7 linked regions of the Coturnix japonica genome follow. The protein of the gene in region 1 binds, or shares a complex with, the protein of each later gene. Links are inferred from orthologs where the notes say so. Each region holds a gene or a part of one and is shown in the gene's direction. Other genes may lie near its edges.

What was found.
Region 2: TMEM67 (region 1) and TMEM216 share a complex: the UniProt entries of both Homo sapiens proteins name them as parts of the tectonic-like complex. The link is inferred for Coturnix japonica from reciprocal best matches to the Homo sapiens genes TMEM67 and TMEM216.
Region 3: TMEM67 (region 1) and MKS1 share a complex: the UniProt entries of both Homo sapiens proteins name them as parts of the tectonic-like complex. The link is inferred for Coturnix japonica from reciprocal best matches to the Homo sapiens genes TMEM67 and MKS1.
Region 4: TMEM67 (region 1) and B9D1 share a complex: the UniProt entries of both Homo sapiens proteins name them as parts of the tectonic-like complex. The link is inferred for Coturnix japonica from reciprocal best matches to the Homo sapiens genes TMEM67 and B9D1.
Region 5: TMEM67 (region 1) and TMEM237 share a complex: the UniProt entries of both Homo sapiens proteins name them as parts of the tectonic-like complex. The link is inferred for Coturnix japonica from reciprocal best matches to the Homo sapiens genes TMEM67 and TMEM237.
Region 6: TMEM67 (region 1) and TCTN1 share a complex: the UniProt entries of both Homo sapiens proteins name them as parts of the tectonic-like complex. The link is inferred for Coturnix japonica from reciprocal best matches to the Homo sapiens genes TMEM67 and TCTN1.
Region 7: TMEM67 (region 1) and TMEM17 share a complex: the UniProt entries of both Homo sapiens proteins name them as parts of the tectonic-like complex. The link is inferred for Coturnix japonica from reciprocal best matches to the Homo sapiens genes TMEM67 and TMEM17.

Annotation. Positions count from the first base shown.
Region 1 is NC_029517.1:114,030,023-114,033,522, forward strand, and holds part of TMEM67 (meckelin), read left to right. Parts: intron 1-631; coding exon 632-786; intron 787-905; coding exon 906-1,014; intron 1,015-2,430; coding exon 2,431-2,517; intron 2,518-3,194; coding exon 3,195-3,260; intron 3,261-3,500. UniProt on the Homo sapiens protein: Required for ciliary structure and function. Part of the tectonic-like complex which is required for tissue-specific ciliogenesis and may regulate ciliary membrane composition.
Region 2 is NC_029520.1:292,621-296,494, forward strand, and holds TMEM216 (transmembrane protein 216), read left to right. Parts: upstream 1-1,456; 5' UTR 1,457-1,569; coding exon 1,570-1,582; intron 1,583-1,688; coding exon 1,689-1,790; intron 1,791-1,855; coding exon 1,856-1,948; intron 1,949-2,036; coding exon 2,037-2,238; intron 2,239-3,087; coding exon 3,088-3,103; 3' UTR 3,104-3,374; downstream 3,375-3,874. Other genes in the region: TMEM138 (transmembrane protein 138), read left to right, coding at 1-150, 871-946, 1,037-1,149. UniProt on the Homo sapiens protein: Part of the tectonic-like complex which is required for tissue-specific ciliogenesis and may regulate ciliary membrane composition.
Region 3 is NC_029534.1:119,462-123,555, reverse strand, and holds the start of MKS1 (Meckel syndrome type 1 protein), read left to right. Parts: upstream 1-1,294; 5' UTR 1,295-2,357; coding exon 2,358-2,437; intron 2,438-2,515; coding exon 2,516-2,693; intron 2,694-2,899; coding exon 2,900-3,055; intron 3,056-3,412; coding exon 3,413-3,510; intron 3,511-3,710; coding exon 3,711-3,839; intron 3,840-4,094. Other genes in the region: BCL7B (B-cell CLL/lymphoma 7 protein family member B), read left to right, coding at 49-141. UniProt on the Homo sapiens protein: Component of the tectonic-like complex, a complex localized at the transition zone of primary cilia and acting as a barrier that prevents diffusion of transmembrane proteins between the cilia and plasma membranes.
Region 4 is NC_029529.1:5,249,675-5,253,964, reverse strand, and holds the start of B9D1 (B9 domain-containing protein 1), read left to right. Parts: upstream 1-1,490; 5' UTR 1,491-3,431; coding exon 3,432-3,518; intron 3,519-3,611; coding exon 3,612-3,680; intron 3,681-4,290. Other genes in the region: CACNA1H (voltage-dependent T-type calcium channel subunit alpha-1H), read left to right, coding at 21-1,127. UniProt on the Homo sapiens protein: Component of the tectonic-like complex, a complex localized at the transition zone of primary cilia and acting as a barrier that prevents diffusion of transmembrane proteins between the cilia and plasma membranes.
Region 5 is NC_029522.1:9,988,128-9,991,699, reverse strand, and holds the end of TMEM237 (transmembrane protein 237), read left to right. Parts: coding exon 1-74; intron 75-996; coding exon 997-1,064; 3' UTR 1,065-3,072; downstream 3,073-3,572. UniProt on the Homo sapiens protein: Component of the transition zone in primary cilia. Required for ciliogenesis.
Region 6 is NC_029530.1:5,160,147-5,164,152, forward strand, and holds the start of TCTN1 (tectonic-1), read left to right. Parts: upstream 1-1,206; 5' UTR 1,207-1,311; coding exon 1,312-1,468; intron 1,469-2,045; coding exon 2,046-2,166; intron 2,167-3,583; coding exon 3,584-3,714; intron 3,715-4,006. UniProt on the Homo sapiens protein: Component of the tectonic-like complex, a complex localized at the transition zone of primary cilia and acting as a barrier that prevents diffusion of transmembrane proteins between the cilia and plasma membranes.
Region 7 is NC_029518.1:2,315,324-2,319,406, forward strand, and holds the start of TMEM17 (transmembrane protein 17), read left to right. Parts: upstream 1-1,283; 5' UTR 1,284-1,312; coding exon 1,313-1,472; intron 1,473-3,028; exon of another isoform or gene 3,029-3,344; coding exon of another isoform or gene 3,345-3,447; intron 3,448-4,083. UniProt on the Homo sapiens protein: Transmembrane component of the tectonic-like complex, a complex localized at the transition zone of primary cilia and acting as a barrier that prevents diffusion of transmembrane proteins between the cilia and plasma membranes.

The DNA of each region.
Region 1 (3,500 bases):
ACACACCACTCTGAGATGTATCCTCCTAATTCCCTTCAGCCTCACTAACTGACTCTGTTCTCACCCCTTAAGTAAGTTTATCCTCCTTCAGCCTGTTGAGTTCTTCAAAGGTTCTGCCTGAATGTTTGTGCAGCTGCTGATCTGACCCCATGCAAAGACAGTGGGCAATGGCGACTGTACAGCTGCCAGGAATCACTTCTGCCCATCATGTGGCAGCAGTTTGTTGGCCAAAACTGAACAATTGTGTAAATACAAGGTTTAAAAACAGCAGACTACAATAAGTACTAAGCTGAAAAGAGGATATTTATTTAGCTTGCAGCCATAATAAAACCATGTTTTTCAAATGCAGATTTTTTTTTTTTATTTATTTATTTTTTTTCATCATGCCATCTAGATAATGCAACCAAAAAACCTCCCTAAAAAAGTGAGAGCATTGATTTCATGCTGCCATTTGGAGACCTGTGAGAGTGTAGAACCAGAATAACTTAAAGAAAATATAAGGCATTGGCAAAACAAAATCGCTTTCAAGTGAAGATGAGATTTAGGAATGACTAAAGATAACAAATTTTGTATCCCATGAAAAGGAGTTCATAGATTCTTTTTTCTGTGTTCCTGTGTTTCTCCACTGCAGTTGTACTCTAATCTGACAGCTTGCCAAGCTCTTGGAAATATGTGTGTGATGAATATGAACTCACTGAGTTCTTCAAGTACAGACGCCTGCAGTTTGTTTCAATATATTTATGCCAATACAGCAAGGCTAGGCATTGTCCATTCAATAGTGTACTGGTAAGTTACCTTTTCCATTACGTTCCATCTTGAATTGTGTTTACGGAGTTTATTATTATAAGTGTTCTTTGATTTAAAATGTTGTGTTTCTTTAGAGAAAACACTGTAATTTTTTTCAGGAGGCATAATCTGCCATGGCTGTATTATGGTGATCAACCAGGATTGGCATCCCAAGTGCTTGAGACAAACCATCTGCCTACAATCTTCAGTTTTAAAGGAAGAAGTGAGGTAAGTGATAGGGAACAGGCACAGAGAAGTGGATGTTAGAAAGAGGACATCATCACATGAAAAGTTTTCAATTTGTTATAGGTTCAAGTCCACTAAAGATGAATTTTAGGCAGCTGGTGTAATAAAATGCAGTGGGAGATTTGTATGGAAGAAGAAAATGATATTCCTGTTAAAAAAAAATCTCCAGTTAAATATTATTTTACGGACTCTCACTTGCACACACATTTCTGTTGCTCATACTCGTACACTCACATTAATAATGCAAAGATAAGCTTGCCTAAGTGATCTGACCAGGACCAACTGTGTGTCACACAGGAAACAAGCCAGCTATTAAGTCCTTAATAAGTTTCCAGGATTCTTCTGGATTGGCAGTGATAAACCAGTATTTAGACAGATCTTTTATACCTCTCCAAAGTTAATAGGAAGTTATGCATTGTCTTTCACTCCCAATATTCTTTACTTCAATTTCTGTAAATCTTAAGAAAGTTGTTATATGTCTTTCCCTTACTTGAAATACCTACATCCTATAGAGGACTATAAAACAAAATACTTATTATATATCTATAGGAAATGGAAGTGTGAGGCTGAAGCAATAAACTAAATCCCTTCCAGCAAAATAGAAAAAGTCGTGTTATAATTGAGCTGTTTTGTCACTGTCAATCAAAATATCTCAGCGTTTGTTACTTCTGTTAGGTTTACCTTTACCTGTCAGCACTGAGATAAATATAGGAGGTGAAAGACCTCTCAGCAGTAATCAAAAAGTAAGAGTCATATTCTTTTTCGCTAAGTTTAAATAAGTGTTTTGTACAGTCATTTAAGGCTGCCAGCCTTTAAACAAGGTTAGGGAGTCCACCCTTTCTAGTTGCACAGGTTTATTGTTTGCAGCTGTGCGCTCAGGCCTGGCCATGTCCTCTCACTAGCTGCTCAGTCATCGGTTCAGGCCTGACATAAGGGTCTCATACACCAAGAAAGCTCAGTGTGATCAGCGCCAAATGTGGAAGTAGTTGAATAAGCATAGATCTGGTAGAAGTCCAACAATAGTATGGATTTGTAGCTTTTAGGTTGTAGGTAATTTGTGTCGACTGTGAATTTGAGTTGAGCAAATGCCTGATATATCTACAATTATGTGTGTGCACAAAAGGGAAACCGAGTCGTTCTCTTGGAAGCTTTTTAGTTTGAGGTAAAAAAAAAAAAAAAAAGCAAAAAGTGAGTCTGTAAAATATATATATATGTGTGTGTGTGTGTATGTGTATATAGACAATTATGTATTAAAAAAGTAAAATATTTAAAATAAAAGTATAAAATCTAAGGTGGAAAAATAAACCATTATGCTGAAAGTTTTAGATGTATGTAGAACAATGGGACAATAATTCCTAAAGGGTTTTCTTGTTTGTCTCTTTTTTTTTTAATCATCAGGATGTGAAACTGCAGTTTATTGCAGCCTCGTATGATGCAGCAGGAAACTTCCTTAAATGGCAGAGTTTGGAAGGAGGCCTCTTGCAGGTAGGCTTGATTTAATTGCCTTTTGTTTTTTTGATAGTGCAGTGTTCTGATTGCCTTCAACCAAAGCCTTGAAACAAAAGCCAAGTGTTTCATTACTACAGCAGTGACAGTTTGTAAGATAAATATATTTAGATTAGGGAAAATAAGCCTTGATTGAGGCTCAAGATCTCTCCAAAATGAGGAGTATAAATCAGCAACTCATAATCCATTGGGCCAGTATCCATTTAAAATACCTGGAAGTTCTGAGAAACAGCAAAAATTCTAGGCTATGGAAAATTACAGGGTATAATTTATTTAGCAGTCCAGCAGTGATGTGGGCGCTCTCAGCAGTTCTCTAGGCAGGCAATAAGAGGAACACAGGCAAAAACAATCAGGAATTATCCATCCTCTTTTCTAAGCTCTTCATGTCACTCTTGGTGCACTTCGCTTTAAATGCTTCATTATCTGCAGAAGAATAGTTGACATTCAGGGTTTAGATGGTGACTGCTGTTTGTTTGTTACTGTGTCAGGATGAATCGTCTTGCTTCTGCCTTCCAATCCTTAAAAATAAAACACAACTCAGTGTATATTTTGTGAGCCTGCTGAATATATAAACTGCTTGGGGTACCTGTGAATGTTTAGTGTCAGAAAACAATAGCCTGATTGAATTAGCCTAATTATTATTGTGTTTTGTTCAGCTTTGTCCTGATACCCAGACGAAATTGAATGCAGCTTACATATTTGGAACAACCTATAAACAAAGTGTAAGTAAGAGAGAAATTGCTTTTCTGAATATTTGAGTTAAATTGCATAGCATATCATCAGTACCTCAGGGCTAAGCAGCCCCAGCTCTCTTAGCCTTTCCTTATAGGAGAGTGCTCCAGTCCCTCTAATGTCTTCATGGCCCTGTACTGAACTGTATCAAGTAGCAATGTACATCTCATGCTGGTGAGCAGAGAAGCAGACACAATATTCCATGACTGCAGTGTTTGTGCTCTTTCTAA
Region 2 (3,874 bases), on another chromosome or scaffold:
TTCAATGTCATCATCATTTTCCTCATGTTCTTCAATACCTTTGTCTTCCAAGCTGGACTGGTCAACCTCCTCTTCCACAAGTTCAAGGGCACCATCCTTCTGTCGGCAGCGTACCTGGCACTCAGCATCTCCTTCCACATCTGGATCATGGTAGGTTTGAGGCTGCTGGCTTCGCAGCTCCTTTCTCCCTTCTGTCCCTCTGTGCTGTGGGAGGAAGGCCATAATCTCCTACTTGTAGCTATCGGGCTGCCTCATCCCAGCCCCCAGCCTCAGCACTGCAACCTGCTTGAAAACCCACACAGAAAACCTTGCACAGAAACCCACCACAGCAGAGTGGTCCCCAGTGAAGGCCATGACAGCAGATCCTGCTTTGTTTACCTGGGATTAATCCCCAGCAATCACCAGCGCTCAGAGGCTGGAGTGCTGAAACCCTGCTGAAAAACAAGTCCCAAGGGTCCCTGCTGTGTCCAAGCAGCTTTGTACCCCCTCTTCCCCATCTCAGCTCCCCCCATCCTGTGCCACAGTCACCATTTGACAAGCAAAGCAGCCAGCAGGTGCTTCCTGTATGCTTTTCAACAGGAGAAAGGCCCATCCTGCTGCCCCTGGGCCAGGTCTGTGACTGAAGCTGACCCAGGGATGTTGTACCCACAGCGTCTGGGCAGGAGATTGATGGGGATTTGCAGGGATCTAAAGTCTGAAGCTAGAATAGGTCCTGACTCGCTGGCCAAATCCCCTGAGCTGCTTAATCTTTGGAGCTGCCACCAAGAGCACGACAGCCCTTGTGGGGCCAGCTCCGTCCCATCGGGATCATCAGTGATCCCATGGGTTCAGTGAAGCCCATGGGTTCTTCCTTGTTTCCGTCTGTGTCAGAACCTGCGCTGGAGGGATTCCAGCCGCTTCATCTGGACCGAAGGCCTGCAGACACTGTTTGTTTTCCAGCGGCTGGGTAAGGGCTCGTGCTTACTGAGGCAGCAGGAACCTGCCTGGGGGACACCCCAGCTTAGTCCCTGTGCCCTCATCTCCCTCCCTCCTGCAGCGGCCGTGCTCTACTGCTACTTCTACAAGAGGACTGCAGTGCACCTGGGTGACCCGCTCTTCTACCAGGACTCGCTCTGGCTACGCAAGGAGTTTGCTCACTTCCGTGGTTGATGGCCCCCACTGCAGGAGGGGCAGCTCCTCATAGCCAGGGGATGGAAGGTCTCAGCCCCCCCAGCTCCAGCCCAGCTGTGTTCCTCCTCTTCCTGGTGGTGCCCTGGGAGCTGGCAGGGTGCTCACAGCTCACAGCCCCTGGTGGGATTGGGGCGTTTTTGTGAGTAGTGAGGAAATAAATTGTCTGTATTTTCCAGTCCGTGTGTGCTGGCTCTCTCCTCTTTTATCACGCAGCTTCTCGGTGTCCCACTACTCAGGGCTGTTCCCATTGGGTTGCCCCCCCCGGGGGTCCGCAGGCACAGCGAGGGGCGGAATGGGGGATTCGAACCCGCGGCTCGGTCCTCCAGGGCCATAGAGAGGGCGGGATAGAGCGGCCGAGCGCTTTCCCTCCTGCAGCCGCGGTTCCCATGGAGATGGAAGATGGCGGCGCGGAGTGAGTGCGGGGCCGGGAGCGGGGGGCGGCGGGGCCGGGGGCGGAACGTGAGGCGGGCGGCGGGGCCTCGCCCATCCCATCCCATCCCATCCCGCGACCCCCACAGGCCGCCAGCGCTCCTCGGCTCCGCTGCAGGTCCTGCTCTTCCTCAACGGCTGGTACAGCGCGACCTACTTCGTTCTGGAGGCCTTCATCTTCGCCTACAAGGGTGAGCCCCCGCCCTCCCGCTCCTCCGCCCCCCGCCCCCAGCGCTGAGCGTGGCCGTGCCCGCAGTGCTGCTGCTGCCGTACCCGCTCACCAACCTGCTGCTGGACGTGCTGCTGCTGCTGCTCTACCTCAGCATTGAGGCCACGCGCATCTTCTTTGGTGAGGCCTTGTCCCTCTATCCCGCACCCCGTTTCCCGGTGTCACACTGTGTGGTGCAGCCTTGCACTGCTCACCCTGTGCCCCGCAGGTTCCAAGGGCAACCTGTGCCAGCGCAAGGGGCCTCTGGCCGTCTGCCTGGCCCTGACTGTGCCAGCAGCCATCATGGCGATCTACTGCCTGCTGCTGCAGACCTATGCCCTGCGCCTGGAGGCCATCCTCAGTGCCATCCTCCTGCTCTTCTACTCTATGGAGCTGCTGCTGGGCGGCCTGGCGCTCGCCTCCTTCTCTAGGTAGGTGGCGTGGGAGCAGAGGGAGCTCTGGGGGTTCTCCTGTCCAACCCCCTGCTAAAGAAGGTTTGCTAGAGGGCATTACAAAGGAGAGCACCCGGGTGGCCCCACCACCTCTCTGGGCAAGCTCCTTCCAGTGCTCTATTACCCTCAAAGTCAAGAAGTTTTTCCTTGTGTTTCCTATTGTTGGTTCCCTACTGCCCCTTCTTGTTACTACCACCAGGCACCTCTAAAAAGAGCGTGCCCCCACCCTCTTGACCCCTACACTTCAGATCAGATCCCCTCTCAGCCTTGTCTTCTCCAGGCAGAACAGGCTCAGAGCTGTCAGCCTTTCCTTGTAAGGGAAGTGCTCCAAGCTTCAACCATCTCTGCAGCACTCCAGCAGGTTCCTATTTACCCAGAGCCAAGGAAACCAGAACTGGTCCCAGCGCTCCAGATGTGGCAGAGCAGAGAATAAGGAGAACCTCTGTTGCCCTGCTGGCCACACTCTGCACAATGCACCCCATGGTCCTGTTGGGCTTCTTGGCTGTAAGAACACTGCTAGCATATGGACAACCATTGGTCAACCAGGACACCTGTTGGCATTCTTGGCCACAAAGGCTGGTTCATGGCCAACCCATAATCCACCAGGACACCCAAATCCTCTGCAGATCCCCTTTCTGTCAGCTCAGCCCTTAACCTGCACTGATGTATGCAGTTACTCCTCCCCAGGTGTAGGACGCTGCGCCTTGTTGAACCTCATCAAGTTCATCCCCCACCCAAATCTCAGCCTGCCCAGGTCTCACTGAGAAGCAGCACAGCCTTCTGCTGGTTGAGCCTCTCCTCACACATCCTCTCCTCTGTTCTTTGCAGCATGGATGCATACTGAGGCCCTGCACCAGAGGACCACAGCAGCGCAGGTACACGAGATGGCAGCAAGCAGGTGGCACAGGCTCCATCTCCAGCCTGTGGTGGTGAGCCAGACCCACACTGGCACCTGTGGGCAGTGCCAGGGCTGTGCCTGGGTAGCACCCACCCTGCTGCCACCCAGCCCCGAGGTTTGTGACACACAGGTCAGTCCAAGGTACAGACAATTTGTTTTTTTTACAGCGTTGTAAGAAGAAATCACTATTTTCCAATAAATAGTTATTTTTATCTGGTGCCTGGGCACGTGGCATCCCCCCAGGCCAGAGCACCTCATTACCACAGCCAGCCCCTGAGCCAGCATGGGAGGCACAGCAGCCCTTAGGAAGAGCTGGAAGATTGGGGGTGGGGGGGCGTTACAGAAGTGCTTGGCTCTTGCTGCCCATCCACACCTTCATCCCCTGAACATCCCCACCAGAATCTCTTGAAAAGCTCCATATAAAAGACTGACAACGTCATCAAGTTTATTACACAACTTCCAACCTATCAGAAAGACAAACAAACCTAAGTCACTGCGGGCAGAGGGGGGCAGCGCCTCGCCGGGTGCTTAATAGAGGTTCCTCTCTGCACTTTTCCCCCCCACACTAATTGGAAAGAAACTATAAATTTGTGTTGTTACGTAAAAAAAAAAGCCAACAAAAACAGAACTCACCCACCAAATGCTTCCCCCCAGTGCTCACCTGATGGTACTTGATGGAATTCATTGTGTGATTGTAGCCTAACAAAGACCTGTGGA
Region 3 (4,094 bases), on another chromosome or scaffold:
TGGGCACGCTGAGCTCTTGTCACTGCTGGTGACCTCTGGCTCTTGCAGGTAACTGAAGAGGAGGAGGACTCTGGCGCACCGCCTCTGAAGAGATTTTGTGCTGATCAGAACTCTGTGTGCCACACAGCCTCGGAGAGCTAGCCTGCCCATCCCCGGGGAGAGCCTTCGCCAGACCCTCGCAGAGCTGCCTGCCCTTCCCTGGGGAATGGGGTGCTTCCCTTGTCCTGCCCTTCCCGAGGGACAGGGCACCCCTGCTGCCTCGCCATCCAGCCTGCCCTGCCCTCGGGGGCAGGAGCCTCCCACCAGCCCCTGCAGAGGCAGCCTGCAAGTGATTTGCCCAGCTGAATGGGGCTGCCACCAGTACCTGCAAATTTGCCTCTATTTATTGGCTCCCACCCTCCCTGCTGATCTGTGCTGTAGTGGCATGGGGTTTCTGGTGCGTGGTCTGCATGCGTGGGGGGAGGGATCCTTGGGATGCCCTGTTCTCTGTCACCCCTAACGCACCGGCAGATGCTGTTTGCCTGCTTCTGGATCCACTGTCTGCCCTGTCCCCTGTGCTGGGAACAGAAGAGCCATGTCCCACCTGCAGAAAGTGATGTGTCCGCTCCCTTGTGACCACAGTCTGGGGCGTTCCTGGTGTAGGTCCAAAGGGCAGAGGAGGGAGGGGGGGGAGCGCCCTGAGAATGGAAACAACGGCCCTCCGTGCCGCTGGGACACTGTGCAATAAGCTGCTACTAAGCCATTAGTATTGGAAGAGGGAGGAGTGCTGCCATTTCGGAGGGCAGGTACTGGACACATCGGCCCTGCCTGCTGCTCCTCTGCCTCCAGGCCCTCACAGAAGCCTCTGTCCGCCCCAGACAGGCAGGGGCTGGGATGGAGCGGGGCAGCCGGCACTGCCGTGTCCCAGCTGGACCTGCACCCTGCTCCTCCTGCCCGCCCCGCTCCCCAGGTACATCCCGTCCCCTGGACAGGACACAGGGTGCAGGAGCCCCATGGAGCCCTCCCATGCCCCCATTCCCACGCTCCCCACCCCGCTGGGCCCCCCCCCACCGCCACTGCATGTCCTGCCGTCTGTGATCGAGCCTGGCGAAGCTGAAGGTGCGGCTGCGCGTGGAAGTGGAAAGATATTTTAGCACTGAATAGAATATTTTTAAAATTAAACTATTTGAAATACAGTGCTCAGTGACTGCAGGTGCGTGGGCTACAGCAGCTGGGGCAGGAGCTCAGAGCAGGCGCTGGGCAGCACCGGGCTGAGCCGGGCTGGAGTTTCCTGCTCCAGGCCTGAGCTCGGTGCCAGCTCTCGGGCCCGGTGCTCAGCACGGTGTGGGCCGGGCACCGGGACTTTGCTTTGCACGGGGTCTGTTCCCTGGTGGCTGGTTGGGCTGGAGGCTGCAGGGCCCCGCCATGGACAGCTGGGCTCCTCTGGGCTGCATCCCTGTGAGCTGCCCCTGGATCTGGTGGTCACACACAGCCACAGTCCTGTAGCAGAACGTCTGGTGTGTGTTAAAGCCACAAGTCCCGCTGCGATGCCGGGGGAGCGGCCCTGTGTGCAGCCCATGTCGGGGCACAGCTCAGGGCAGACACAAAGAGCCGCAGGGGGAGCTGCCCTGGGCACCCTGACTGCACTGCACGGGCCCTGGGTTTCCACCTCAGCCTTTCCTTATGGGAGAGAGCCCACACCGAGGTTAATTAACACCACGTGCCCACAGGTATCTTTGTGGCAGCCTTTGATTCATCTCTGTGCATTGCAAAAAATGATTCTTATTTTCCGGTTTATTAAATGGAGCGTATAAATCTAAGCCAAAGGTGCAGCTCCCTCTGTGCGACCGTCACGTGTGTTTCACAGCAGCACTTGCTGTGTGTTCTGCCCCAGTCCGGGGCCGCTCAGCACGTGGTTGTTGTGTGTATCCGGGCAGAGCTGAACCGAGGGCCCACAACGTGGAGGGGGCTCAGGGCGGCTCTGAGGGGTCACAGCGCAGGAACACGAAGCTGTGGGGGTCGCTGAGGTTTGGCTGGATGCGGCCATGCATTGCCAGGCGGGCACATCATTGAAACGTGTGGGAACTTCTGAAGAGTGTGTGACCGTGCAGAGCAGCTCAGAGCACCACGGCTGAACTGGTCGGACTTGAGATAACGTCTCTTTTCCCGTTCAGAACATCGCTGCTCGGCTTCGTTAAGGCGGCTGCGTTAAGACGTTCTGCTGCCGCTGCTCCCCTCTCCTTTCCCGCCGCCCATCGCCCCCGTCCGGTACCGCACTCGGTTCCGCTCCGCTCGTTACCCGGCTCCGCTCCCGGCCGCGCTCTGCTCCCCGCTGCCGCCAGGGGGCGCTGCCGCCGCCCCGCGTCCCTGGTGACGGGATGGCGGCGCCGCTGTGGAGCGCGGAGGCGGGCGGCGGCGTGTACCGCTCCCGGGACCCGGTGCGCAACCTGCGGCTGCGGTGAGCGCCCGGCACGCACGGCCCCGGCTGCGGCTCCGTCCGCGCTCGCTCTCACGATGTCTCCGTCCTTCCCCGCAGGGTCCACATCCAGCGGGTATCGGCCGCCGGGCCCGTCCCGCCGCAGGCCGCGCTGTCCCCGAGCGGCGGCCCCGAGGGGCTGGGGCTGAGCGCCCGAACCGGGCACGGGGCTGCGGGGCGACCCCCGGCCGAGGAGGAGAGCGCCGAGCTGGGATGGCAGCAGAAGCTCTTCAGCCAGGTGCGAACCGCCGCCGGGCAGCGCCGTGTCCGTTCCGTGTCCGTGTCCGTGTCCGTGTCCGTGTCCGTGTCCGGGTCCGTGTCCATGTCCGTGTCCGGGTCCGTGTCCGTTCCGTGTCCGTGTCCCCGCCGCTCACCGGGCCGGGAACTTCTGTGGCCCGGCCGTGGTGAATCAACGCGGCTTTTAACTGTGCCCGTGACGTTCAGTTCGAGGTGGATCTGTACCGACACGAGTCAGCCTGCCAGACTCCGCTGGACCGGCAGTACCACGAGGAGATCCTGAAGCTGGACAGAGCCGGAGGGCGCAAGAACCGCCGCATCTTCACCTACACCGATCACGACCGGTTCACCAACATGGAGGAGGTACCGGCCCGTGGTTCTGCACAGAGCAGCGTCCGTCTGTCGGCAGCACCGGGACCAGCACGGGGCACGTTCGTTGTTTTGTGGCCGTGGTGCAGCGTGCCCGGCGCTGCTCTGCACTGTGTGCTACAGAACGACGGCTCCGTACTGCAGAGCGACGGGCAGGAGCAGCTGGGATGGAGGCACTTGGCTCGGCAGGGTTGTGTTGTTAGTGAAGTTCACAGCTGGCACATGGCTGTGAATAAATATCCCTTATACTTGCATGTACAAATACTTATTCTGGCTTCCAGGGGCAGAATTGCATTTGAGAGAAAAGTCCTGTTGTCATGAAGCGAGTTCTGTTCTGTGTCTCTGTTCCAGCACGGCCAGAAGGTGACTGACTCAGACTGTGAGGTGCCCTCGTACCTGGCGGAGAGGATGGCCAATGTGAGGAGGAGAAGACAGGACCGTAAACCGCTGTGAGTTCAGACTGAGGCTCAGAACTGGCTGATGTGGGTGTCGTGGTGTCCGTGCTGCAGGGCAGCCTGTTCTGTGGGAGCTGTTGGCTTGAGCTGTGCTGGACTCAGGTCTGGCAGTTTGACTCTTGTTTGGTGGGTCTGTGCCCGGCTGCTGGTGCGAGTTCTGCTGACCGTGAGTTGTGCTGTTCTGTGACTGGCAGAGATGGGAGTTCTCTCAAGTCAAAAATCATCACCTGGGAGCCCTCGGAAGAGTTCATAAAGAACAATCACGTGATTAACACTCCTGTTCAGACGATGTACATCATGGCGGACTTGGGACCTTATGGGAAGTAAGTAAAATCCTGAAGCGATCCTGATTTCCCAGAAGCAAACCCATCTCCTTTCTCAAATCTGCCGCTTCTCTCTTCAACTGAGGGAATTCCAAGTGTAACTCCAGCTGCTCTTTCTGCTTCTTTGGGAGGTACTGAGTGTGTCCCTCCAAAAGGTTTTTTAAACCAATGTAGGGCTGTATGGGTGTATCTGTGCCTTTCTGTACCCCCTGTTCCAGAACAAGTGTGTGCTCTATTGAGACTCGCTTTGTGTTT
Region 4 (4,290 bases), on another chromosome or scaffold:
TCTTGATTCTCTGATTCCAGGAGGCCGTTCGGAAGGACTCGGTGGATGGACACACTCTAGACCCCAAGGACAACCTGCAAGCAGAGCATGGAGAGATGCCACCATCACCAAAGCACCCTCAGCACACCCTCACCCCCAGCCCTCTCCACCCTGCAGCCTCCTCCCTGCCAGCCTCCCCTCCACGCTCCCCACCAACCTCCCCACACCGGCACCCATCACTGACTCAGAAACACCCCTGCAGCCAGCGCGGGGTCCCCAGTCCCACCGAGAGCCCCCCAACCCCCCAGGGCTGCCTCCTGGAGCCCTCCGACTTGGCTGACGAGGAGGTTCGCCACATTAACAGCTCAGCCAAAGACTGGGGGGAGCACTCGGAGGCTGGGAGCTGCTCCACATCACCATTCGTCTCGCCGGCCACATCGCCGGTGCCCCTGAAGAATTGCAGCACAAGCAGCCTGGTGGCAGGCAGCGGCAAGGAGAGGGACTTGAAGAAGTTTTACAGCATTGATACAAAGGGCTTCCTCACCAAGCCCAGCTGGGCGGATGACCAAAGGCGACACTCCATCGAGATCTGCCCCTCCGTCCGCGATGGGGACTGTGGCTTCGAGGAGCGCACCGAGGAAAAGCCGCGCTCCCCTGCCCACATCCAACCGGAGTCCGAGTACATCCATGGAGCCAGGAGGAAGAAGAAGATGAGCCCGCCCTGTATTTCTATAGATCCTCCCATGGAGGATGATGGCGGGGCGGCCTCACGCACCAAACCCTCTGAGAACAGCATGCTGCGCCGCAGGACCCCATCCTGCGAGTTCCCAGCATATCGAGAGCCCCTGGAGCCAGCGGAGGCGCAGCCAGGGGAGCCGGGCTGCAAAGCAGAGCGCCGTGCACAGCACTTGGCCATCCCCGGCTTCTCCTTCGAGCAGTCGGATGGCGGCTCCCTGAGCAGCCTCTCGGATCTGCTGGACAGTGGGCGATCCACACCGGACTGCGAACTGAGAAAGCCGGAGCCTTTAAAAACTCAACGGAGCAACAGTGAGAAAAGCAAAGAGCTGCTCAGCGTGGCCAAGAGCCCCGTCCGGATGCAGGACTTGGTGACTGTTGCGACAGAAGAAGACATCGACGAGCCCGTATAGCTGTCTGGGAGGGGGGTGCGGGGGGTCTCAAGGGCTTGACACCGACATGGGGTTGGACACCGAAGGGGCTGCGCGGCCGCGTGGCCACACTCTGGTTTTTCCCTTTCAAGCAGTCCCTTCTTCTTAAGCGCTGTGGAGGTTTGCAAAAAAACAAAAACAAAAACAAAAAACATTAAAAAAAAAAGAAAAAAGAAGAAAAATATTATTATTATTAATTATTATTATTATTATTTAAGAAGAAACCAAACAAACGGATGAAACGGTGCCGGGTTTCAGGGTGGGGGTTCAGAGGGGGCAAAGTGGATGTGGTCGGGGGGGGGGTGGCTCTCAGTCCTCTGCGCCCTCGGTCACATTGATCCGGGTGGAGGCGGATGGGGGCTGAGGGTTCTCTTTGTCGTTGGGGTGGGGGGTAAGGGGGCTCTTTTTGTTGTTGTTGTTTTGTTGTTGTTGTTTTGTTTTTAAAGATGCTCAACTTTTTACAAGGCACTTTTAGAGACGTCACACGCCGTGGGAGCGCCCTGGGGAATGGGAGCTGTACGTTGTCTGTATATCAGCAATTATATACATAGAAACGATGTACTTGTGAGATACAAAACGAGGAGAAAAGAGAAAAAAAAAATAGAAAAAAAAAGAAAAAAAAAAAAAACAAGAAAAAATACTCACAAAAAACTTCTTCTTCTTCTTCATAATGCACATATTTTTATAGAGAAACAATACTGGTTTTTTGCATTACGTGTGACTCCGCGACCGGGTGGTGTTTCTTTGGGTTTTATGTGGAACTGATTCTTACAGCCCTTCATTGTCCAAATGTTTCTGCTCTTCCTTTGCTCTCCTTTCCCCCCTATACCGCCACCATCAGCCCACAGCTCCTCCTTCCGCCGCCCCTTTCATTTTCCCTTTGTACTTTAGAGGTTGTGTCCTAACCAACAGCAAGGAACCAAATCACTACTGAATTGTAGCCAGTGCAATAATAAGTTATTCATTCTTCTCGTCTGTACAATGATCCTTTCGCTCGTTTTCTTTTTCTTCCTCCTTTTTTAACAGAAATTCAGGTTAAACGCTGCAATAATCTGAAGTACCGCGCACAAACGAGGTGTCCCACATTGCACAAACAAACAACAAACAGAGGCGAAACAATAAAAGGGAAAAATTTCAATCTGAAGAGATTCACAGAATAAATAGTGAATTATTTAAGACATGTATTTTGTTGCCTGCAGTTTGAAGTAGGTTGTTGGTGCAGTACGTCGAGGTGCAAAGAGCTGTTGGTGGCGGTCCATGTGAGCAGGCTGGGATCTGTTCTCCTCCTGGCTGTGAGGTCGCAATGGTGGCCATAACCCCTTCCATTCTTAGAGTGGTAATCAGCTCCAGTGAGGCTGGGAAAGGCCCCTCGGATCCCCAACCCAACCCCATCCCACTGTGACACCAAACCACGTCCCCCTGTTGTTCTGAACACCCCCAGGGTGGTGAACCCATCCCTGGGCAGCACTGCCAGCATCAGCGCTATCTCAGAGGAGGAATTATTCCTAATATCCAACCTGAACCCACACCCACATAGACGTTCCTCCACCACATTCCAGAGCCTTTTAAGTTCAAGTGAACACCGTTTTAATATATTTTAATATACATTTATTTAGTTTTGGGGGTTGATTTTCCATTCGTAGCCTCTATTCCCTGCTCCTTCCCCACTCCTCAGCCAGACCCTCTGCTCGGATCAGCTTCACCACAGAGCACTGACACCATGAGCATCATCAGCCCCAGCACTGCAACACCAGCAGCAAAAAGACACATTGGGGAGGGGAAAAACTATCAACCAACCAACAGAAAGAACTAAAGCAACCGTTCTCCTTTGGTTCGTTCCATGCCGCCTCATATTTATGCATCCACGTATATCTTCTGTTGTTTATGCATTCATTACTCGAAAGGAAATGTATCTTGTTTCACATGTATTAAACTGTATAAACTGGAAGCCTGGCTTGACTTTGTGAGCATCCCCAGGGACCTGCCTGCTCTGTGCAATCAGCAGCCAGGGGGGGATTATTGCAGTTATTCCTTCCCGTTGGTTTAATGAGGGATTCTGGAAAAGCACCATTAATTACCCAACATAACGAGGGGTGGGCGCCTCAGAGACCCCCGACCCGAAGCTTTTCTCCCCCCTGACAGCCCTGTCTCGATCTCCTTGCATTGCAGCATCACCTAGCGGCCATTTCCCGTGCTCTTTAGAAAGAGCCGCCCGAATTTGAGGGGGGGGGGTCTCCGAGGCCCCTCCCCGCATAGTTTGTCCCTTCCGCCGCTCCGTCCGTCCTCATGGCAACGGCCACCGGCAAGATGGCGGCCGCCAGCAGCCCCAGCGTCTTCATGGTGGCCGTCAACGGGCAGATCGAGAGCGGGCAGGTGAGGCCTTGTTCGGTCCTCGGTCCCGTAACCCATCTCCGGTCTGTGCCGTGTGGGCCGGGCCCGGCCCCGTTAACAGCCTCTCCATTGCAGTTCCCTGGGTTCGACGACCTCTACTGCAAGTTCTGCTTCGTCTACGGCCAGGACTGGGTTCCCGCAGCGGTGAGACCTCGTTTTGTGCCCCCGGCAGCACCGGGCTCACACCGAGCTCACACCGGGCTCACACCGGGCTCACACCGAGCTCACACCGGCTCCACACTCGGGCTGACACGAGCTCAAACCGAGCTCCACACTGAGCTCACCACCTAGCTCCACCTGCTCACCACCGGGTCACCACCGAAGCTCACACCGGGAGTCACACTGAGCGTGCACCACCGCAGCTCACAACTGACTGCTCACACCGAGCTCACACCTTCTCACACCGGCTCAACAGCGAAGCTCACACCGGCTCACACCGGGCTCACACCGAGCTCGACACCGGCTCACACCGAGCTCACACCGAGCTCACACCGGGCTCACACCGAGCTCACACCGGCTCACACCGAGCTCACACCGAGCTCACACCGGGCTCACACCGAGCTCACACCGAGCTCACACCGGGCTCATCACGGGCTCACACCGAGCGCACACCGCTCACACGGCTCACACGGGCCTCACACACCGAGCTCACACCGGGCTCCACACCGGGCTCACACCAGCTCACACCCGGGCTCACAACCATCTCACACGAGCTCACACCGAGCTCACACCGGGCTCAACCGACTCACACCGG
Region 5 (3,572 bases), on another chromosome or scaffold:
TCTGGTAGTATCTATTCTGGTTGGGGCAAGTTGGATCTTCTTGTCTTACCGACCAGAGCTGGACCACAGTGAAGGTAGGAAATGTTAACTGGCAAAACCTTATTTGTTCAGACTTGTATCTACTGCGGTCTGCATTGGGTGCTCAAGTGTAGTCCTGAGAAATGTTATGAGGAACAGATTTGTGTCTGGGAGGACAAAGGTTAAATGTGCTTCTTCAGATTTCTCTAGAATGTTAATTCACAGCTTTCTATATTTCAGCTGCTACCAGTTTATCCTGCTTAATTCTAATAACTCATTTAGCTTAAAACACATAATTAGTTGGCAGCTTTTACAATTACTGAAAGTAAAACTTACAGTAGGTGTCTAAATTATAATTGCAAGTCATTCTTAAGTAGTAAAAGGCTTATTCAAGGAAGACAGAGGTGTGATATAGCCCAGGTTTTGATGAGATTTTAGATATTTTCAGATGTCAACTAAAATTACATAATATGCTTTAGCAATTTCAAGAGAAAATTTCTGTTTGGATTTATCCCAAGTAGTAAAGAAATTATAATGGAATGGCAAAACAAAAAGAAGTGTGTGATTTCCAACTTGAGTGGAAAAAAAAACAGTGCTGCACATACAGATTGTGTAATTTTGCCGCAAATTGTTGGCAGACAGCAAATTATCAGGTCTCTAAATGGAAATCTTCAGTCTTGGTTCTGACACATTCAAAACTGGAACAACCCATCAGTCTACTTTAAAATACAAATTCAAGTGTCCAGGCTGAAGTCTACTTCCTATAAGCAGCTGCTAATGTCAGTGCTAGTTGTGTTAACCTAGGGGAACAACTATAGTTTTACTAAAGACAGTGGTGAGTGTTCCCATTACTGAAACAAGGGCTACGAAGAAAAGCAGGAGGCTTGGGGAAATTCCAGAGATCTTTTTTGGTATAATGAAATAGTATTTAGGTGAAACTTGTTCGATAAAACCAGTGTCCTTTTCTCTTTCTTTCAGAACTGATGTTTCATACTGAAATTGAGGAATTTCCCCAGGGAGTTATCATACCCAGGGTCCAGCCATAGTGCGGAACATGCACCTCGTAGCTGTAACTGATGGCTCAACACTTTCTGTATTTTAACCATGTATTATAACTTTCATAAAGGAAAAAAAAAAAAAAAGTATTTTTATATTGTATATATTTCATGGGTCTTTTATGTATGCCAATTTTTAAATATTCAAATGTCTGAAATCTTTTATATATCTCCTTTTTGTTTTGTAAAGGAGATTATCTTTAGTACATAAAGTCAATGTTCACTTTTGTAAACATTGCTACCTACACAGCCAGAGGAAATGGGTGAGTGCTGAAGATCTGCTATTCAGTGCTTTTTTGACAGCAGTGCGATATTGTCATCATCAATCTATGTTTTGTTACTGATACTGATAGCAGTTGAGGTATATCCTTTTTCTAAGATATTCCATAGAGATGAAAACAAATCATAGGAAGAAAGCAGTTTAAGTAAGTAAATGCAGACGTCTTGCAGTCTCCTTAGCAGACATAGGCAAGAGCTAGTCTGAAATCCATTTCTCATGCAGGTATCACACAGGACTAGTTTTACGTTTTATTTAGTATGTACTGAGTTTTGCATTATTTTATTTAATATATCTGAAGGTGGTTTTAACAGGAGTGCAGTGTCAAAGATCCCTGGAGGTTAATGTGTTATAAAAGTGATGGAGAGTTTAGCCAGATGGAAGAGTGAAAGGGAGATGTTAAAGAGGTAGTAAGTTTCTGTACTGCTGCCTAAGTTGGTTTAAAACAAGAATGGGAACATGAATAACTAGGGCAGCTTCTGCCTTGTCAAGGGTTCTAGTGTGCTTATTTAACAAATTTCAGTAATTCTAGAAAGTAAGTAATTACATAATTCTAGAGAGGGGGAAAAGAAGTTATTCTGGACTTGAAAGATTTTCCATAGCTGCTGGTTCTACTTTAGGGCATCCACTTGGTTGTGGGAAGGAACTCTTTAACTTTTTAGTCGGTTGTTATGATGTGTATGTGTTCTTGTAAAACTGTGGAGCTCAATTACAGCTGGTGCTGCATTGTACATTATAACAAAGAGATTCAGGATGCTACTCTCCATCAGTGTTACATCAGAGGTCCTTGTGATTTGCTGTAGGAGATGGGAGCTCAGGCCACGACGTAGTGTTCCCACATAGGTTTCCACACAGGAATTTCCTTGCAAAGCAGGAAATGCACATCACAGTTTCTTTGAGTGTCGTGTGTTTGGTTTACAGAATTGCTGAGCTCCTGAATATGAGATTATTAATGGATTGTATTTGCCATTTCATGCTTCTGTCATCTTGGCATGTGATAAAAAGTATAACTTCTCTCATAAGGTACAGAGGTTAAACACAACCGTGCAAAGGCATTCAGTCAATATAAACATGAAGGACATCACTGCTTGATTTCATTTCTGAAATTATTCCTAGGAACTGGCCTTCTAAGTATCCCACAAATGAAGCAGTGCCAGCCAGGAACCAGATTTGCTCTCATTGTGAAAATAGTTGGCTTACATGGTTGAGCAGTGATGAAGTTTTTGGACTTAATGGAATCAGTAGTTCAAGCCATACTTGCCTTCCTAGTTTGTACCTTTTTTTTGAGCACCAGAATATATAAACCTAAATGAATGAAAGAGGTTTGAGGATTGCCATTCAAAATCACAGATAAACAATTTCATGGCTTATTACCTCTTTTACAAGGTAGTTTTCATTCCATTAAGCATCACAATGGAATTTAACTGCTTTTTGTATGTGTGTGTGTGTGTAATTTTAGAACATCTTAAAGTTTACAGAATAGATGTTTAATTGCAGAACATGTGGCATATGTAGAAGCCTTAATTGAAATGTCTTTGTGCATTTACAATGGTTTTTGATACAGTATTTTGTGTCCAAGAAAAATTTGCAGAGAAGTTAGTGCCAATTTTTAAGTATCTGAAACAGGTGAGGAAGTGGTCTGAATGAATATTAGCTTGTACTACTTTGAACTGTTTCCGATTGTTTAGTTTGTTTAAAATAAAACAGTCTAACTTGTTTTTTCCTCAGTGCTAACTTTGTTACTGTATACAAACTCTGAGCAGATGCTGTGGGAAAACATTGCTTTCTGTGTGTGTTTCCATTACTGCTGTAAGTAATGGCTGTCTTTTCTTTCCACCAGCAGGCTCCTGCCACTGTTCTGGCCTTCTGCACTCAGAAATAGCTCTGTAAAACCCCAGTAACCAGCGAGTATGCTCACTGCTCTGTGCTTTCTGAGGTCTGGATTGCTTCAGGAGCATTCCGGCTGCTTAGGCTGGACTTAAGGAAGGAGTGTTTATAATGATGGCAGTGAGGCAGTGGCACAGGTAGCACAGCTGCCGCGTCCCTGGAGACGCTCAAGGTCAGACTGCACGGGGCTGCAAGCACCTTCATCTGGCGTATGTCCCTGTTCATTGCAGGGTGTTGGACCACAAGGCGTTTCAGGGGCCCTCCCAGCGCCATGATTCAGCGATGTAGTGCAGCGCAGTTCCGTGGATGCCCTGTGGGACGCAGCCTGACAGCGG
Region 6 (4,006 bases), on another chromosome or scaffold:
CTCTGTGATACCCTGGGAGAGCTCATGTATGTCATGAATCCGTTTCTCCACTGGTTCTTTTAGAACCTCACCCAAGTTCCCCAGCTTCTCTGTAAAACACAAACTACTGCAGGTTAACGGTGACTGTTACTTCTGCCAGAGTTTTGAATGGATCAGACTGAGAATATCTGTTTAGAATATGCATATTGAAGTGCATCCATACTTAAACTGAGGCACGTACAAAATTATTTCCTCACAGGATTTTCTTCTGATTTTAACCAGGATCCACTTCCTACAGGAGCTCTTTCACAACCACGAGTACTTCTTGTTACTGCAAACTTCCTCAGGATGAAATCTCTTCCAAGTCTATTACAAACCATCTGCATGGCGTGTCCAAAGAGAGCAGCCCAGGGCAGCCAACAAACAGCTCGAGCACCTCATCCACTGTCATTTATGAAGACCCTGTTTATTAAACCAGTCCTACTCTCAGTTATCTTAAACATCCAAAAATGAAATTAAACTATTTAATCAGAAGGATACATGTCCTTAAGCAGAATTTCTGACATCTTCCCCGATGAGGAGGAACATAGTGACTCTGCCAGTTTGTTCACCTCGATCCGAATAGTTTTAAGTACATTCAGGATAAATATCGATTGGTCCAGGACTCTGAGAACTCTGGTGTCATTTATTCTGAGAACAGCAAGTTTTGCATGTGTAGCAATAATTCAGCTATTTACAACAGTTTTAGAGGGGCTATGGTCTATGTTAGTTATAGGACTGAAAATGAATCCTGCTCAATTAGTAAAATATACTTAAAGGAGAGAAACCGAAATGTAGGTAGTATTTTTTTGCTTTATTTTAGCATTGCATCAGATACACATGTTGATTCTGTATATAACCAGTCCCTTGATTGGACTTAATCCCGCAATGTTTGGATCACAAATACAGTCTATAATGTTTAAACACATCAAAACCTTGATGCTTAAAGTAACACAGTAATGCAGTAAATCCCTCAACAGCAACCTACTGCATTTTAAACTGCTTGAGTTTTCATTTCATAGGCATTCCCACATAGTGCTCTTTCAAATTATTAATTAATTAATTCGTGTTGATGGATAAATTAATGTATCTCTGATGGCGGACATGCATTATTGATTCATCTCGTCCTACACACTGAGGTGCCGCTCTGTGGAACCCCATGATGCCCAGCAGGGGGCGCTGTTTCCCATCACACACCGCGCTCCCTGGCAACCGCGCCGTTGCTAAGGGAGGCCTAGGCCGTTGCTAAGGGAGGCCTAGTCTGTCTGTAGGGGCGGCCTAGCAGTGTCCGTCATGGTGGCGGCGCTGAGGCTTGGCCTGCTTCTTTTCTTATCGCCGCTTCGTGCAGCCGAGCCCAGCACTGATCTCCCATCCAGCCCAGAGACGCCATCGAAGACCCGTGCTGCCGCTTGGGAGCGGGGTCGCAGCGGGCCGGCCCCGCTCACGGACGGTGGGTGCCGGGTGGGGTGGGGGGGCTTGGCCCGAGGGGAATCCTGTTTCTGTGGATATATAGTGCTATCACGACACAAATCACAAATGTTTGTCGTTGTAAATGACTGCTCTTACCAAAATGATGTTTGGGTTTTTTTTCATCCAAATACAAGAAACAAACTGATAAACAGAATTTCACTACCTTGTAACAAATAGATAAAGATAGTATCACTGCCTTGTTTGTATCTTTTCTTGCTCCGGACCTAGTTTCGTACCTTCATACCTTGAAAATTCCCAAAAACAGTTGCTTTTTTCAGTTTCATAGGGGAAAAAAAAAAAAAAAAAAAAAAAAAAAAAAAAAAGTGTCAGATTCTGGTATGCTCTTGGCTTTGTTATTTGCCCCTAAAATACTTGTGAACTCTCAAAAAATGACCTGGAGGAGAAAAAAAAGAAAAAACACAAAAAACCAGCATAAAGTTGGATATAGACTTTTGACCATTGTCAAGAAGAAGGCGAGGTGAAACTTGAAAGTGTTAGGGAACATGCTGTAGTGTGCAAAGTTCCAGTCCTAATTCTAACTTCAATCTTTTCTCCAGTTGCCAAGCTGTGTGTTTGTGATCTGTTGGTGGCACAGTGTGATGTAAATTGCTGTTGTGACCCTGACTGCAGTGAAGCAGATTTCAGTCTCTTTACAACGTGTTTGGTTCCTATTGTCACGTAAGTGAATAAACAGCTATCTGAAATACAAAATTGTCTTATTTGGTGTGTGTATTTGCATGAGTTCTATATTCTCCTCTTACAAATTCCTAACCAGTCTCTTCCCGTGCCATCCTAACCCCTGCCCACCTTTTTACCAATCCCTGCAGCACCAGGTTTTGGCTCCCAACCAGGCAGAACAGCAAATTGGCCTCCCGGCCCACTTTCTCATTCCTTCTTTTCTAAATTTGTGCTTCTTCCTTTTTCTTCCTGTTGTACTGTCCTACTATGTGTGGGTGCTCAACTGATGAAGCCTTATGCTGGGGGATGAAGAATGTATCTTCAGACCTTCATCAATATAATGCAGTGTCTGGAATTTAAGAAAGCTGATGCCACACGACCATCTGGCCACCTCCATAATCCAGCAGTAGCTTCTCAGTAACCTCTAATTGAGGTTTACAGTATCAACTAGAAACATGATCAATTCAGGGCTTAATGAAATAGTGTGAGTGTTGCTCTGATCCTGGTTTTACAAATCAATGGTCCCAGCCTGCTGCCTCGCTGCCAATCTGTCACTTTACAAACAGTAGAATGTAACATTATATGCATGAAGTAACATGGATAGTTACTTCCTTGCTATTTACAGTTTATCTGAAAACACCTTTACCTAATTCCATCCTCTCAAAAACGAGTTATGAAAGCTCACTTTATTATCTTAATATAAAACCTCTTGGTGGCTTCTCAGAACAATAAGTACAGCATTTCAACCCACCTTCTGCATAAATTATGCCAATCTCAACGCTGGGGTTTATTCTTGGTGCTTTGAAATTTGAATTAGCAGTCATCCCAGACTGCCATTTCTTATTGTTCTTGCACATAATGACTACTGCTACCCATTTATAGATATTTAGATATATCAGAAAGGTCTAATCAACGCCTTCCTGAATGACAGTTAAATTGCCTCAGGTGACTGTTCTGTCTTTGTCAACTAGAAATGCATTAAATGAAGCTGTAGTTGTCCCCAAAAATTCTTTTCTATAAAACGTTCATTTTTTGCATGAAATTTCCAATGCCTGCAAGTATTGTGGATCTCATTATTTACATTTGGATTTATGGACATTTGTGTAATTGTGGTAATTGCTGAATGGATTTTGCCTGATCACAGGTGAGAGGTTACATATGGCACCTCAAACTCTAAGGAAAAAGGGTGTTTGATACGGGTTGTGATACTACTAACCAGTGCTTCACCTCATCATTTAACTTCAGCTCCGTGCTTAAAAGGTCATTTCTAAAAGCTGTTTACTTTCTCAGTCCCTGCCACTGACTGCTTTAACTCTGCCTAATTACCCATTTGCTGCCTCAGCACGCAAAGAGAACTTTAAAATATGGTCAGCAGTAACTTCTAGTGGATCACTGATTTTTTTGTTATTACTTGCAGAGGTGACAGCCATCTTTGTAGTCAGAAAGCTGCAATATATTCACTTGATACTAAAGCAAATCCACCAGGAAGAGTTTTTAAATTAGTTGACCACATAAATCCCAGTGTTTTCTGCATCCATGCTACAAACTGTAAGTAATGTTGTTGCCAATATTTATTAGACATCTCTTTTTATAAGTTCTCTAGGTACAAAAATAGACTAAAATTAACAATAACTAAACCTGTCAGAAAACTGATTATTCTGTGCACTCACGGTCCTTATGTTGTAATACTTCTGTTTGTGAAACTATCTCATGCTCCAAGTCTTAATCCTCTCTGTTGAAAGCACGCTCCTGGTTCTAACTAAGCTTAATTAACAGTTTTAATCTAATTTTCTGTTGGCAAATTGAGAGTTGAAAAGTGATGTTTTCCTTAATATATATA
Region 7 (4,083 bases), on another chromosome or scaffold:
TGTCTACCAACTTAGCTGGACTACTGTGGATACACAAAGATCCAATATTCCTCTGATTTAAAGCTTTCAGGCAGGTTTTCAGACATTTTTGTTTTATTTATAGCTAGCACGTGTGGAGAGAAATAAAATGGTCATGTAATGTGCTGTGCAGTTACAGTCTCATTTTGAAGCACAGAGTTGGAAATCCAGTTATTTCTACCTTAAGCATTAAGACAGGGATAGAAACAAAGAAACTAAGCAGCAGAATGTCTTTCTGTTAAAGAAACGCCAAAAGCAGCTCCATCACAAACACTGGACACTTAAGTATTTATACAGATGGTCATTGTAGCTGATACAGACACTTCATAGCTGAACTTCTTTCCTCCTTCCACCCCTTACAGCCCACATTGATATCCTTATGGTACAAGGAAACCCTGACCTGTCCAGGTGTTATAATCCATCAAGTTTTAATGTTCTCTTGCTTGAAACTTGAGCATGTGCTCCTCAACCCACCCTATAGAAAATCAGATGTCTGTTCAGAAAGTGGGCAAAAAATGTGTGCCTTAGCATTAAAAAAATACCCAAAAACCAAAACCAAAACCCATCAGAATGAGCAGAAACAAAGAGTATGTTCCATGATTCCATCTTCACTGAATATTTTAAGCATTTGCACAGACAAGAATGTTAAATGAAAACGCACACAGCTTTATTCCACAGGGCTGTGTCGGGTGCTTTGCCATCTGCTGAAATGTGAGGCTGCCAGATAGCACAGATTCACACCTCAGCTCTGGAAATTGAGTTCCCATGGCAAATCCAGTCACCTCTTGTGGTGTCTGCATTCCAACAGTCTCCCCTTCACCAAATACTTCTCTTTATACTTCGGTGACCGCTAAGCTGGATTTGCTTCACAGTCTCTGAAAGAATCACAGAATCACAGCATCACCAAGGTTGGAACAGACCTAAAAGATCATCCAGTCCAACCGTTCACCTATTACCAATAGCTCCCATTAAACTATGTCCCTCAACACAACATCCAGTCTTTCCTTGAACACCCCCAGGATCGGTGACTCTACCACCTCCCTGGGTAGTTCATTCCAGTGCCTGACCTCCCTTTCTGAGAAGTAATGTCCAGCCTGAATCTCCCTTGCCAAAGCTTGAAACCGTTCCCTCTGGTCCTATCACTAATGACATGAGAGCAGAGGCCAACCCCCAGTTCGCTACAACCTCCCTTCAGGAAGTTATAGAGAGCAACGAGGTCTCCCCTGAGCCTCCCTGTTATGGTTTTGTAATTTGGTTGGTGTTGGTATTCCACAACAGAACACCATGCCTAATAATGGGAGTAAAGGGGACAAGTTTTTTTTCTGTGGACTGCCTTAAATGGGCATGTGGGGAGTGGCACCGGAGGGGAAGTGGGGAAGGGGACGGGGTTGCTGGCCCGGCTCCCTGCGAGGAGACTACGCGGTCGGAGCTTCCCGCCTTCCACAGCTCCATCGGTGAGACTGGGGACGTGGTATTCTCTTTGTTGAAACTCTCTTGTTGTTGTTTAGCGTTATTAGGTATTGAACTGCCATTCATTCTCAGATCACCTTTTTTCTCCTTCATTTTTTGTTAGACCTAATCGCAATCTCCCTTCCCTTCCCCCCTCCCGAAACGCACGTGGCCGGGCCGCGCCGCCGCCGCGCCGTACAGTGCCGCTAGAGAAAGGGGGAACTTTTGTTCCTGCTCCCCTGGGTTTGTTCCCACTGTCCCGGAGTGAGCTCTAGAGAGAACTCCGTGACACTCCCCTTCCTCCCCTGAGCCTCCTATCTTCCAATAGGACTAAAGGGAATGGCTTCAAGCTGCACCAGGGGAGGTTCAGGCTGGACATGAGGAAATATTACTGCTCTGAAAGAGTGGTCAGGCAGTGGGATGGGCTGCCCAGGGAGGTGGTAGAGTCACCAGCCCTGGAGGTGTTCAAGGAACAATTGGACGCTGTGTTGAGGATCATGGTTTAGTGAGAACTATTGGTGATGAGTGGCTGGTTGGACTGGGTGATCTTGTAGGACTTTTCCAACCTTGGTGATGCTGTGATTCTGTGGTTCTGAGTCTGGCAGGAAATACATTCCTAGCACCTACTGGAAACTGGCAAGACAACCAATATAGATTGCACCTGTTAATGCTCAGAAGCCTAACCAACAATAATGTTGATTTTCATAATGTTTTCTGGTACATAAAAGCAATTTTTAAGCTCTTCAATTATTTACCAGGTAGTTAGCTAATGAGCCGGCATCCACTCCCAGATTTTTATCATTGAAACCATGGTACACCTCCAGTGCCCTAACAGCTCAGAGGTCCACATCCAGCCAGAACACAACCACAGTATGTATCCCTGTGACTGCAGCTCATATTGCTTTACTCACCCTACTTTTCAGATAGCTCTGGTAGCATCACTGAGCTGTGCTCACTGCTCCGCAGGCTGATCTTGTACCCTCTTCCGTGTGGCGCAACAGAAACTGCAAAGAGTGTTTCTCAAGACTAAACCTCACCTGTTTAATCTGCAAAATAGGAATAAGCCTCACCTGCAACTTAAGATTTATGTTACTAAGTGCGCTCACGCAGTAAAGCTTGCTGCCTGCCCTGCCTGTAATGGGACACTCTTCTTCCTCATCCCTTCTGGTCTCCAGTTTGGTTTGCTTTGATTTTTGGGTCAGTTGGTTGGTTTTCATTTGGGGGAATGATGTGCAGAATCAAACTCTATAGCCAGAACTAGGTTATAAAGCAGGTATGTGTTTATTCAGCGCTGGGCACATGGGGGATCACTCCTCCTATCATGTGCATTGATAGACAGGAGCGTTAGAAAGTTGTAGAGCAAGTATATACATATGAAACAGATTTCCAAGGAATCATTAGCATATTCATCGTTTTAGGGGAACTCATTTACATGCTGTCCCTCCTACTGACTTGTGAGCAGTCCGTATTGGGGTCTCACTCTGCTGGTCGTTGGGATGAAGTCAGAAGTCTTCCTCAGGTCGACCCTCCTTCTTTGACCCAGCTCCTCCACTCAACCCTTAGAAAAAGATCCTTCATCTCCATGTGAAATCTCTCTTACTGACCCGACTCCTGCTTTCAGGGAATGCTCGCTGTCGATTCCTGCAGCCGCATTTGACTGCAAAACTGGTTGGGATCTCCCTATATGCGCACACATCAGTCCCTATTATCAGCGCAGGGCACGAGCTGCTCCCCATCCCGGCGTTGCGAAGCGTTCCGTCCCTCAGGGATCCCTTCCTCCTCCCCGGAACAAACCGCTCCGTGCCTCGCCTCGCCCCAGCCCGGACCTTCTGCCGGAGCCCCACGGCGCCTGCGCTTCCCCGCCCCAGCCCGGCGGCATGTCGCTGCCCGAGCCTCTGCGGCGCCGCCTGGGCTCCTTCAGCCGCTCCATGTTCACCGACGGCCGCCGCTCCGGCCCGCACAGCCGCAGCGAGCGCGCAGGTAAGAGCGGCCGCCAGTCAGCGACAAACATGGCGGCGGGGCAGGTGGGGCGGGGGGAGCCGAGCCCTTCCACCAAGCAAGATGGCGGCGGAGACCGGCACCGGGCGGCCGTGAGGATGGAGTGCGCTGTGCTTCATAAAGCTCTAAGGCCCATCCCTGAGGACACGATCCGTATCCGTGAGGAGTGAGAGGTTTTCCTTTGTCCTGTTGCCAGGGAAACCTGCAAACATCCCACAGTTTTATCCCTTTGCAGTGACAGGAGCCACGGAAATAAACTGTGTGCACAGGCAGGTTGCGTTCATGGAGGTGAACATGAATTTCCACCAATAAATCCATCCCAAGTTGATGAAACTCCTTTCAAGGCAGGAGCACTCATTAACTTTATGTACTTACAGCAGCATAGCTATACTGCTGGCTTACATGTCATTCCACGTATCAAACAACACTGAAACATTCTCTTCTTGGCTGTCAGAACAGCTTCTCTCTCAGTCAAGTCAGTTTTCAGTCATGAAAGCTCTTATGAGGAGCTCTTATGAGGAGCTCCAGCTGATTGAAAGCAGCAGCAAATGTATCATGGATTTCAGTGAGGTCAGGCTTTCCAGCCTAAAGTTCACCCACACATACTGTAGGGAGTTG